Linked DNA regions of Tribolium castaneum. The protein of the gene in region 1 interacts with the protein of each later gene in a pairwise test. Links are inferred from orthologs where the notes say so. Each region holds a gene or a part of one and is shown in the gene's direction. Other genes may lie near its edges. The genes, in order: fra, trio and Trim9.

Evidence for each region.
Region 2: the proteins of fra (region 1) and trio interact in a two-hybrid assay, tested with the Caenorhabditis elegans proteins (2 studies listed by BioGRID). The link is inferred for Tribolium castaneum from reciprocal best matches to the Caenorhabditis elegans genes unc-40 and unc-73.
Region 3: the proteins of fra (region 1) and Trim9 interact in a two-hybrid assay, tested with the Caenorhabditis elegans proteins (2 studies listed by BioGRID). The link is inferred for Tribolium castaneum from reciprocal best matches to the Caenorhabditis elegans genes unc-40 and madd-2.

Annotation. Positions count from the first base shown.
Region 1 is NC_087396.1:13,003,262-13,006,916, forward strand, and holds part of fra (neogenin), read left to right. Parts: intron 1-3,060; coding exon 3,061-3,223; intron 3,224-3,281; coding exon 3,282-3,418; intron 3,419-3,655.
Region 2 is NC_087394.1:33,647,451-33,651,627, forward strand, and holds the start of trio (kalirin), read left to right. Parts: upstream 1-1,358; 5' UTR 1,359-1,480; coding exon 1,481-1,625; intron 1,626-3,573; coding exon 3,574-3,760; intron 3,761-4,177.
Region 3 is NC_087402.1:3,125,236-3,129,361, reverse strand, and holds the start of Trim9 (E3 ubiquitin-protein ligase TRIM9), read left to right. Parts: upstream 1-1,270; 5' UTR 1,271-1,527; coding exon 1,528-2,268; intron 2,269-4,126.

The DNA of each region.
Region 1 (3,655 bases):
CGTATACAGGGTGAGGTGGAAGTGCCTATTGAAAAAGCGATCTGGACGTGTGTGCTTAATTAGATATTTTTGAGGTGCCTTGCCCAGCGGCATTGTATTCAGCGGGCCCATTGAATAAATTTTTGTAACACCACATATGATTTATTGTGCAATCTCGCTGTACGAAAATAACATTCAATTAGAAGCAGCAGGCATTGTAATTACGATTCGAAAATGGCGTCAATAAATCTTGTCCCGGAATAAATTAAAATATGAAACTAAAAATGCACACCGAGATGTCAGATCGTTGATAAGAAGCGTAGACCTCTAGTCCTCCCAACAGATGTTTGAATCCATTATACTCCTCGACAAAGGGGCATTTCAACGCACCGCGTCATGTTAGCACAGCAATATATCGCATTTCTATTGTGCATGCCATCCGGTTTAAAACAAGGACCTATTAGACACATGATGCTGAAAAAATGAACCGGAGCGTGATCGATTTTTGGGCACCCTTGACCGGAAATTGGTGTCGTGTCGAAAGTTCCGGGTCATGTTTCAAAAATGAAACTTTTATATTATACCACCCTGGAGGGAAATTCGAGCCATAAAGTCGGAATTAAAAGAAAAAAACGAGCCAAGGTGGGGGAGGGGATTTTTACAAGAACACGGCGAGTTATTCTGGAAACGGCGGACGTTCAGCAGACGGATTAATTTTCCTATGACGTAAAAGTTCACTTCATTAGCTTACTACAGCTCCAGTTCAGGAGAAGGGTGCCCAACTTGCATGAACTTAATTCACGTAAATGAGGGCAAAATAATATGAAGAAAAATCGCAGCAGCCGTTACTTTTCTCATTAATGAACAAATTGAAATTGTTTACCAGCTACTTACTACTTGAATAAAATAAGAAAAAATGTTTGTTTATGTTTTTGAATCTTTTACTCGTTTTAAGTGATAAATTCTGGTGCATAACGAAAGCACCAAGATCCATTTTTCGAAAACTTTTTTGATATGCATGCAGCAAGTTTATAGCGCATTTGTCTTCAGGGTTAGACAAATTATGTATTAGATGGTTTTGTATGAAGTTCTATTGTTTAGGTACTATTTATTCTTACCTGTTTCGCTAAGATTTAGCTGTTTTTCGTAAAATTTATCTGTTTTTAGCAGCAAACTTTCTCGTTCCTTAAAGAGTCTCAAAAAGGGTTTAAACTAAGGCAACAAAAGCCTTTAGCTGACATATTTTTTCCCCAAGCTAATAGAGCGAAACAGTTTTCGGACTTTACGAACAAAATTTCTGGTGTTATTTTGTTGAAAAAGCAACTGTTTCGTTACAAAAATGGAACCAAATTATCATACAACACTTCAAAGTATTTTCAACTCTTCCTTCATCCATTTCAAAAGGGTTTTTCGAAGCTATTCATAAAAATGGGGGAGTTTATTAAGAACGTCCTGAATTTTTTTTCCTTTAGCTTTCTTTAGGATTAGTAACAAAAGTTTTTCTTTAAAACTTATTTTAATACAGTGAAACCTCTCTCAACGGACCCTCTGTATAGCGGACGCGAACGAAAAAAATCCCCATTTACATTAACATATAAATTTACCTCTTACAACGGAGAGAATGAAAAAAAATGGTGGCGCAAAGAACGTACATTTATTTCATGGACTTTGTAATAATGGATGAAAAATTCTATACCGAAAATGGAGAGTTAAATGTCGAGGAGTGTACGCAGTTTTTTTTAGAAAAACATGATGAAAAGATTGATGAAGATGATAGTGATAAAGCGGAAACTTGCCTTAGCACCACAGTAAAATCATGCTGTCTGAATATTTTGCGTCTGTTCAAAAAATATCTGAGTTTATGCGTCTTGTAAAAAATTATTGTCTCCTAAAAACAACCAAACAAAAACTGAAGATTTTGTAAGGGATCAGTTTATTTATTTTTTTTATTAAAAAAAAATTGTTATAATAAGTTTAACAATGAAATGTTTATAATAATATTATTATCATATTAAAATTTATCCAAGAATTCTGCGTGCGAGTAAAATATTTTTTATAAAATATATTTTTGCTGCTGTTTTAATTTGAATATGTTTTGTGGGCAGTTCAATAATAATTAATTAATACGAAAGATACCTGTTTTTAAATATTAAAATTGCCTACCTCTTATTAGTGGACAATTAAAAATTCTCCATCGGTGTCCGTTGTTGAGAGGTTTTACTGTGTTACTTAGGTAATTACGTTAGAAACCCTCACACAAACAATAAAAATTGTTAAGATAAAACTGAATCAAATTAGTTTTATGATACGATTTAAAAAATTTAAAATAATATTTTGAGTCCGGTAGACTTGCCCACACGTAAAATTAGTCATCAACTTTCTTGGCAATACAGACAATATTAATTTTTATATCGGACTTTTAAATACACTTTGATCAGGTTATACTCACCGGAAGTTATACTATGTTTTAATGAAAGAATTTCTATCCAATTATTTCCAATTTTTTGAATCAAACGATAATATTATTGGATAGATTAATTGAATTGAAACTAATTGTACGATGGGAAGATTTTATTTTATTGTACAGTTTTACAATTTAGGAAATTGTTTTCTCTTTGATGTTTTTTGAAAAATCGTGCTTATTTTCGTTTGGTGGCGTAAATTAAATAAAATCTGATCACGCAGAGCCGTAATTATGCCACAGAGCAATCAGTTTATTCATTATTCCGTCCACATTTAAAATTCTGAGCCAGTCTAGCTCGGACCCCTGCCCCCTATGACACATCACGTCTGACTTTTCATTGATTGGAAATTTAACAAATGTACACATGCTGAGATAAGGGGTCAGCAATAAATAACGATTTACCGATAAGAGCAACTGTTGTCCCACCATATGTGGGCCAATTTTCCAATTTTGTGTATTCCGAGGGTTGACCGGACTCAGCTGTCGTTACCGACCATTTCGAGCGGTAATAGCCACTCCCTGACTTAATTTTTCGTATTTTACGCCCGTTTTAAGTATTTGTTTACTTGAGAGTTTTACGATTCGGGCGAATAAAGCCGGTGTTTTGTTCGTTTCAGGTCATGTGCTGGAGTTTACGGTGGAGCCGACGGACACAGTCGTGGAATCGGGGCAATCGGCCGTTCTGGACTGCGTCATTAAGTCGTCCCATCCAGCCAGCGTCCTGATCCAGTGGCTGGACCAGGACCGCCAAAAACTGACGTATTTGGGCGATCTGTACAGGTATCGATTCACCAAAGATGAATTTAATTAAACCGTCTACGACTCGAATTACTTCTAGGTCTCAGCTTACAAACGGCTCACTGTATATAAATAGCGTGTTGGAAGAACAAAGATTGACGGGGACTTACCAATGCATGGCTTCGCTGCCGAACGTCGGCTCCATTGTGAGCAAAGCGGCCACGCTGAATGTAGCCAGTGAGTAGAATTCATTTATTCAAATTACGGCGAAAAATTCACAAACTTTGTCGCCTTCACCGAATTAATTTCATTTACATTTCGGCAACGCCTAATTTGGAATTAATCCTTTGATTAGCTTTGCGGCTTTTCAAACTTTTCACGAAGTTCCAAAACAAACAATCCCGCCATTGATCAGATGATTTATTTTTCGGGCCTGAGCTTATCATTTGCATCGGGATAAACAGCAATTTGCTT
Region 2 (4,177 bases), on another chromosome or scaffold:
GGGTAAGATACGTCGCATATGTTCATTAAGGAGGTATTTCCCTTTCCGGTGTGTACGCGACTGCGCTTCACAAATTCCGATAGTGAAGACGACAGGCGTCACGACGCAGCAGTTCCTTTTTGTCCAAAGTGCGGATCTGCCGGAAAACAACCACAACGGTCGCAATCGCGAGATGTGAATGTTTTTATTTTACAACAACAGCCAATAAATTTACCTAATCTTGTTATTTGTTATTTTGTGAAACATTCTCGAGCAGCTCTGCAGCATAGTAATGTTACGTGCAGCTGAATTGTCACACGTGGTTACTCCTTGCAGTTTCTTTGTTTATCCTTTCTAAATGCAAAGGAAGTTTTTGTGCAACTCTTGAACAAATTTGTTAATGATTGTTATTGGAAACATGTTACATATGAATATAAAAATTTACATGTTTATGGAATGCATTATTGTAGGAAAAAGAGTGTGAGGCTTCCTTTTGGTATGTACTTTGTTGTGCAAGCAAACCATTAACATAAACCCGTTTAATTCATTATTCTATGATGAAAACTTTTCGTTTTCCATGACTTGGTTAGGATTTGTCACTTCTGGGGCTTAAGTAATTAATAATTACTTCAGCTGGCAATTAAGGTAATGAGAGCGTTTAATCTTTTGTCAAAAACTAGGTCGATTTTAAGTGAGCTTGCAAGAATGCAATTTCCGGTTCCTATTTTTGGCCGAAGAATTTTTTGCAGTTATTGATTTTAAGTGTCTTTAATCGCCTAATAATAAAGTCGCAATTTTCATTTGCGTGCTGAACTCCGCATTATCATATCTGAGGGCGTAAATAACCGTTATGAAAACTCATCATTTTGGTAATCTGCTTAACTTGGAGGCTGAACAAGGAATAGTACCCATAAGCGAATGGGAGTATCGATTCCGCATTTCTGCTGTATTCTTTGATATGGCATTCCTGGGTAACGTCAGACAAGGAGAGCCTTCGCCCCTGTGTTCGTATTCTTCAAAACTCCGAACACGTGCCTCGCCAAGTTGCGAGTTTCTACAAATTTGACGCTTGGAAACTAACCCAAGTTTCAACAACTTTATTGCATTTTGATCAGTGGCTGTTAGGTGGATAATTTGTTTTTACCCAAACCGAGATTCAAAGGGAATATTAAATCTAATTGAAATAAGATTGCCTTTTAATTTGAACGCCATGGGCGATTTATCGAATTACTGTGATCAGAAATGTTTTCATCATATTCTAATTGTTGAACAATTATTGGAAGGAGGCGCTTATTAATACCACTTATCAATTTTTGCTTGTTGTTGCAGTAAAATTACGAACTGATTTGTTATTTTATTCGGGTAAATGCTACCGAGAACTGAAAATATGAATAACAGAGTGTATTTCCAAAAACTCTCAAAATAAGTTCGCAAAAATAAATACACGTTGGCTGATTTAAATAAAATCAAGTTAGAAGTGCAGTGGATCATCACATTTTTGATGGTATCCATGGCTAGTTCAAGCAGAACAGCGTCCGCCTTCAGGACGAAGGCTGAAACTTCAGTAGGTTCCAGACGTCGCCCTCACAGTTGGCACAGTTCCATTGGGTCACCCAATACAGTCCACCGAACAAGACGGCTTGTTGGTAATTTACTGGTTTCTTTTTGTAAATCTGTTCAAATTAATCGTTTACTTAACTGTCGTGTTAACTGCTTTTCCAACAAAAACACAGCACAATGAAAATTCGAAGACGTGGAAATAAAACACAAATGTGAATGTTTGCTCAAGGAATGCATTTACGAAAGAAACAAACTGTTGAAACGGGGGAACAGAATGTTTAGTAAATATTTCTGCACTTCTATTTTATGATAAATAAACGTACACTACACAATGTTGGGCGGCCTGGAAAAGGGCCCACTTTTATGGATCAAAAATATTATACCCACTTTGTCAATAGAAGTGTGATCAGGATTAGATAATGTATAGAGAATTTTACCAAATTCTGTTGAAAACATTGAACAATCGGACTGCAAACAATGGCAACTTTCCGTGATAGATTTTTCGCACAGTTCGGGGAACGTGTCAAACTTTGTTACTTTTACATTTTATTTAGGTTTTACCAGAATATGAATGAATTCACGTGTCATTTATGAGCGAGAAAAACCACTTCAATAAAAAATTGTTCACTCGTGACAGATTTATTCTTCAGAACACTGTCCCTAATTTAAGACATTGCACCTTTTTGCGCAACCTGTGCATATTATTTTTAGCATAAACGTCAGCCGGAATGATTTATGATTAATCTACAACACACGAAGAGAAATTGGGAAGCGCTGACAGTCTATTTTTGGGGCGTAGATGATGTTTTGAAATCTTGTTATCGGAGGCGCAACATTTAATTGAGCTTAAACAAATTAGTTTAATTTGCAGTCTCATTACTCCGAAAATCGTGAGTTTTACCACAAGTAATCTGACGTTGAACATCTAATCCGCTTTGCCTGTTTCGAGTTCACGATATGACAGAAATCGGGAAGCAATAATGTACGGAAAAAGTTTTTTAATTTGGTGGAAAACAATTTGGGATGGGAGTGGAAATTAATTCAATTTTTCCGTAGTGAATCTCGACTTTCATTTTTATTACGTAAAATTTGAATGTGAAATGATGTGATGTGACTCGTTTATTTTATGTTTCGCTTTATGCAGACTGGATGCGACAATTTTCCCAGAGATAAATTTTATTTAGTTCATTATGTAGCATCAAAGACCTTCGCTTAATGCGAAATAATTTTATTTACCAACCGAGTATTTACTGTACAATTTCTAAAATCACTTAACAATTGATCGGAAATCCCTTAATGAAATATCTTTCATCCCTTGATTAAAAATTCCCGACTTTAATTAGTTTCGCGATCGTGAATCTTAAAGTTCCAAGGACGTTTAAAGTGTTCAACATCTGTGGCAAAACAAAACCTTCCTTATTTTCTATTCAACCCACATGTTACGTTCATTTGTGTCGAGTGTTCGATCTTGGAGAAGATAATTTTTGCTGGATTTACATTTGCATTTCCTCTTTTCTCTCTAAAGACTGCGACCTTTATGAAGAAAGGAAAATTAAAGACGTAAGTCTCGGAATCTTTATGACACGGAGAATAAAACATTAAGCTCCTCTGAAACCCACTGAATATTATAATCCTGTCCCAAAACGTGCGACATTTGAATGAAATGAAATTTTTTGTTTATTCAACCCATACATAATTTACCATTATTCGGGAATTAAATAACACGTTTCACTTTTGGTTAGTATTGATCATTTTCCGGTTCAAATTGCGCCTCACTTTTATTTTTACCCAGGACGTTCGGCGGTAAATGAACTGGAAAAGGTTCGTTATTACTGTAAAGGCCTACATAAAAATCGGACTGATCGCAAAATAAATACTCCATAAGCAATTTAATCACATTTGACATCGATCGCTTTAAGCGGTGTGAAACGAGGTGTGAGGGTTATTAAACCTGCTAAGTAGTTGAGAGTGCTTCATCAATCGATTAAGTCTTTTAGTGACGTGAATTGGCGCTAATTTCGTTTTTCTTTCCAGCTCAAAACATGGACGGACAACGTGCTTTGGAACTGATGCCTCTATTGCAGGAACGGCTTGTGATTTTGACCGGTGGCCGTGACAGGCGTGGAGGTCCTGTGCTATCATTTCCTGCCAGTCCTCGCAGAGAACGTGCTAAACCGGAGGATTACAAACGCCTTTTGCAATATCTTATGTCCATTCCCAAGCAAGTATTTTTTCTCCAACTTCACGTAAATTATGCAAGCGCGAGTTATAGCTTAACCACTCAATGGTCATTTTTTGATCAGTGGAAGTTTAAATTTTCCGCATTTTCCGCCATTGTTCAATTGGATCTAGTGTAACAAATCCTGTTACACTTTCTAAGCTATCTGCGAATAAATAACGGACATTATAATACGGTCTGTTTCCACTCAGCGTTCTATAAAATGGTGATTAAATTATGCACTAAAATGATGTTTTCTCACGCAAAAAAGCAACGAGGAGAAAAGTTTATTTATTGTAACGTTAATATCGAGTCGGGGAGTGTGTTATTAAATTTACCAAGAATATTGCGCATATGGTGCCCATATTTTAAATAACTAACAACACAATTAGAAGAAATTACGTCGAAAGCGTACAATCT
Region 3 (4,126 bases), on another chromosome or scaffold:
TATTGTGAAACAAGCCACGTTTTTATGTTGTTTTGTGCAAAAATTAAATAAAAATGTTGATAGACCGAAAAAATGTATTAAAAATGGATACTAATAAACGCTAGGTAAAATAATGGTAATGTATGTATTTTTAAATAAAATTTGCTGAGAAAGAATTTTTGATTGTATTTTATGTTTAGAAAGTTTTTTTACGTTCAGAAATTGTATTTTTCGTTGTAGTATTATTTTTGACAATGAGATACAATTATTTTAAAAACTAAAATCTAAAAACATCATGACTAACAAAATGCTCAAAATATAGTGTTTTATTCACAAAAATATTGTAAGATTTTTTGGATAAACAATTTTTGGGGCTTATTTTTTTAATTTATTTAAATAGTATTTTAACAAACCGACACATAACTAAAAATTTTTGTAATTTCGATTATAAGGAACTAAATAACACACAAAGAGAAAACAATGAAGCATTTTAGTTTGCGTGTGATTAGTATACCGATTCAGTAAAAATGTACTTTTAATAGACTTGTCCTACATAAATAACTATAATTTTTTAAGTTAAAATGTAAAAGTGAGTTTAATCCACGGTTTATAAAAGACAAAAACAAACAAATATGTTGTGGTCGCATGTGTAACGAAGCTACTGTTACTGTTTACCAACTTTCTAAACAAACGAATTTTTCCTGATAATTTCCGCCTAAAATTATAAGTACCCACAAAGACATATTTATTAATCTTTGGGTTACAATTTACAAATTTTTATTCAATAAATTTCAAATATGCGCATTCTATTGTGGTGTCATTTTTACAAAACAGTCACAAGTTTTTGAAGAAATCTAACCACTAGTTTACAGTCCTCATATTTTTTTGTTTCTTAATTGTTGGTCGCTGGTTTCAAAACTGCTTTTTTCTGACAGCTCTAGTTTTAGGGGTAGGTAATACGTACAGCTAACTCAAGTTAGCATTTATTTAAAAAAAAGGACAACTTTTAGTCAAGTGCTCTCACCTCTTGGTCCAGAAATAACAACAGTGGTACTTTTTTGGGGGTACATAAAAATCTGTGCTTTTTGTAGGATATTAGGGGTCGGTTTATAGAAGCGTCATTAAGTTAATCTACAATTAAATGCGTGATTAATTGAACAAATAAGAAAAACAGCGAAATTTTTGGGATTCTGCTTTATTTTTTAAGACGCTAGAAGTAACATTTATCATTTTACATGGTACTAAAGTGTAATTTAAAATGATGTATGTAAGTAACGCTTGAAAATTGCGCTGTCGGCCGCTGCATTCAGGTTGTCCTCTCGTGCTTGACCGCAAAATCCGTACGAAACAAACCAAAAAGCACAAAATCGAAGTAAAAAATATGTCGTCGACCTCAACCCTCCCATCCATCTCCATCTGCCGCCAACAATAACAGCAGCAGCACCAGGCCAAACCCTCGCCGGCTTTCGTCCGTTTCCGTGTCCCGTTCGCCGCGTGTTTCAAACCCGCCGGTGTGTGCCGTCAGTGGAGTTTGGTGAGTTGCGTGCGATGGAGGAGGAGTTGCGTTGTCCGTCGTGCAAACAGTTCTACACCAACCCCGTCCTGCTGCCGTGCTTCCACGCTCTGTGCCTCAGCTGCGCCGTGCACCTGCAGCAGCCCGCCCAGAGCCATGGCGCCGCCGGCGCCGAGAACGCCGAGAGCGTGGCCTCCGGCAGCTCCGGGGACTACCAGGAGAGCGACAAGCTGTCCATCCTGAGCGAGACGGACAGCGGCGTGGTGTGCACCTCGCGCCCCAACAGCTACGTGGGCACCCCCAGCGGCGGCCTGTTCCCCAGCGCCCTGAGCCTCGCCTGCCCCCTGTGCCACAAGCTGGTGTACTTCGACGAGAACGGCGCCCACAACCTGCCCAAGTACCGCGTCATGCAGGCGATCGTCGAGCGGTACAGCGAGGTCAGGAATCTGACGCTGAAATGTCAGATGTGCGAGACGGAGCCGGCGAGGGAAGCCACGGTGATGTGCGAACAATGCGAGGTGCTTTACTGCGAGACTTGCCGCGAGTCCTGCCATCCGGCGAGGGGGCCCTTGGCCAAGCATGTGCTCGCGGAACCGAAGCGCTGCTCGGGGACGATGCTCAGGAATAGGGATGATAAATGCACGGAGCATTCCGACGAAAATCTGAACATGTACTGCTTAGTGTGCAAGATTGGTGTCTGTGCTTTGTGTTTGATGGACTCGAGACATGCTTCCCATGATGTCCAAGCGCTTGCCGTCATGTGCAAGACTCAAAAGGTAGTTTTTACGTTTTGTTTGCCTTGGAGACGGTCAAAGGAACAAAAGATTACGCCGGGAAAAGAAAACCCATAGGAATCCAATTATCTCACTTGGGTTTTGTTCATTTTACAATGTTCTACTAAAATATACATTAGCGTGGAACAGCAAACATGATTAAATAGGGAATAAGGGTGTCTGGTTGCACCGCACTTGAAGAAAGAGTTGAAAAAAAAAGAACTTACAATCATTTTAAGCGTATCTTAAATAAATTACTCAAAATTTATTGATTGTCGTCATAACAAATGCTTGTACTCTTTCCAAAGTATATAGGGATGCCTTCCGTCCGGATTTGTCCAAGTTTTGTGTTGGGGTCCGAATGATTTCTTGAAATCTCTAACTTAAAATGTTTTTCAAATCACTTTTAGTTTTTTTTAATGCCAATACTTTTCTGAATCGGTAAAAATTACGTAGTTATATCATATCTATCAATAATAGGAAATAAAGTATAATTTGAAATGTTTTAAAGGAATATTTATTATTATTACAATTCTTATTAAAAACAGAGAAAATTAAGCGCTATCAGATGGTTTTTTGTTCGTTGCTCTAAGTCTTACAGTTTCCGAGAAAAACGCAAAAAAATGTTTCCATTTTCACTTTTTTTCAATTTTCAATCGCCGATTACGGCCACACTAAAAGAGCTAGGAGAAAACTCTTTTTTCCATCGTAAAGAGCACATCAAAATCTATAAGATAGGATAAGTTTTATTCGATTCTGAGACACTTTTAAAATTGACCATTTTAACTTGTTTTAAAAAGTTGTTAACTTTTTTTTTATTTTCTCAATTACGACTAAACTATTTGAAAAAGGAGACCTGTTTTGATCCATACCTATGCAAAATGATCCGGGGAATCGATTGGCATCAAGAAAATTGCCAAATTCCCAATAGTTTTTTAGTTATGAATTTTTTAAAATTTTACCAATTTTTGCATTTAGCAGCAATTTGCTCGAAAACTATTAGTCGGAGAACAATAATCTTTTTTAAAAAAAAATAGATAATTTAAAGAGCTTTCCAACGATAATAAACTTCATGGGGTTATCTTTGATAGTTCCGAAGCTATTGCTCAACAAATGTTCCGGGTACCCAAAATCGACAAAAATTGCGACGAAAATTGAAAAAATCAAACATCGAAAAATCGAACATATAGACTTTTTTTGGACTTTTAACAACTCTAGAGAGTTGTAAAGGCATATATAAATACGAAAAAATATGATAGAACGAATTAAAAAAAAAATAATTTTTTCACTTTCTTGAAGATAAGTGTTACTACTCAGGAAATTTTAGCAAAAAAAATAAAATTTTTAAATCTCATGAAAAGTTCGTATAATACAGAAAATGAACCGCTGAATTCAATGGAACAAACCGCATTGCTCTATGACTTTTAGTTTTTGAGTTATGAATTTTTTTGTTGGATAAAATTTTCCACTATGACAAATGGCTACCCTAAATTTAGGCAAAAAATTTAAAATTTTTAATTTTTGTGAAAAATTGATATAATATGTAAAATGAGCCGTAGAATTCAATCGAACAAACCGCAATGCTCTACGACTTTTAGTTTTTTTTTTATGAATTTTTTTAGTGAAAAACTTTGATCGCCTCTGTAGCCGGAACCGTTGCCCGGAGCGGCTCCGGGTTTAATCGAATAAATAGAGAAAATTAAGCGCTATCAGATGGTTTTTTGTTCGTTGCTCTAAGTCTTACAGTTTCCGAGAAAAACGCAAAAAAAGGTTTCTATTTTCACTTTTTTTCAATTTTCAACCGCCAATTACGGCGAAACTATTAGAGTTATTGAGAAACGGAAAAATCGAGGACAACCGG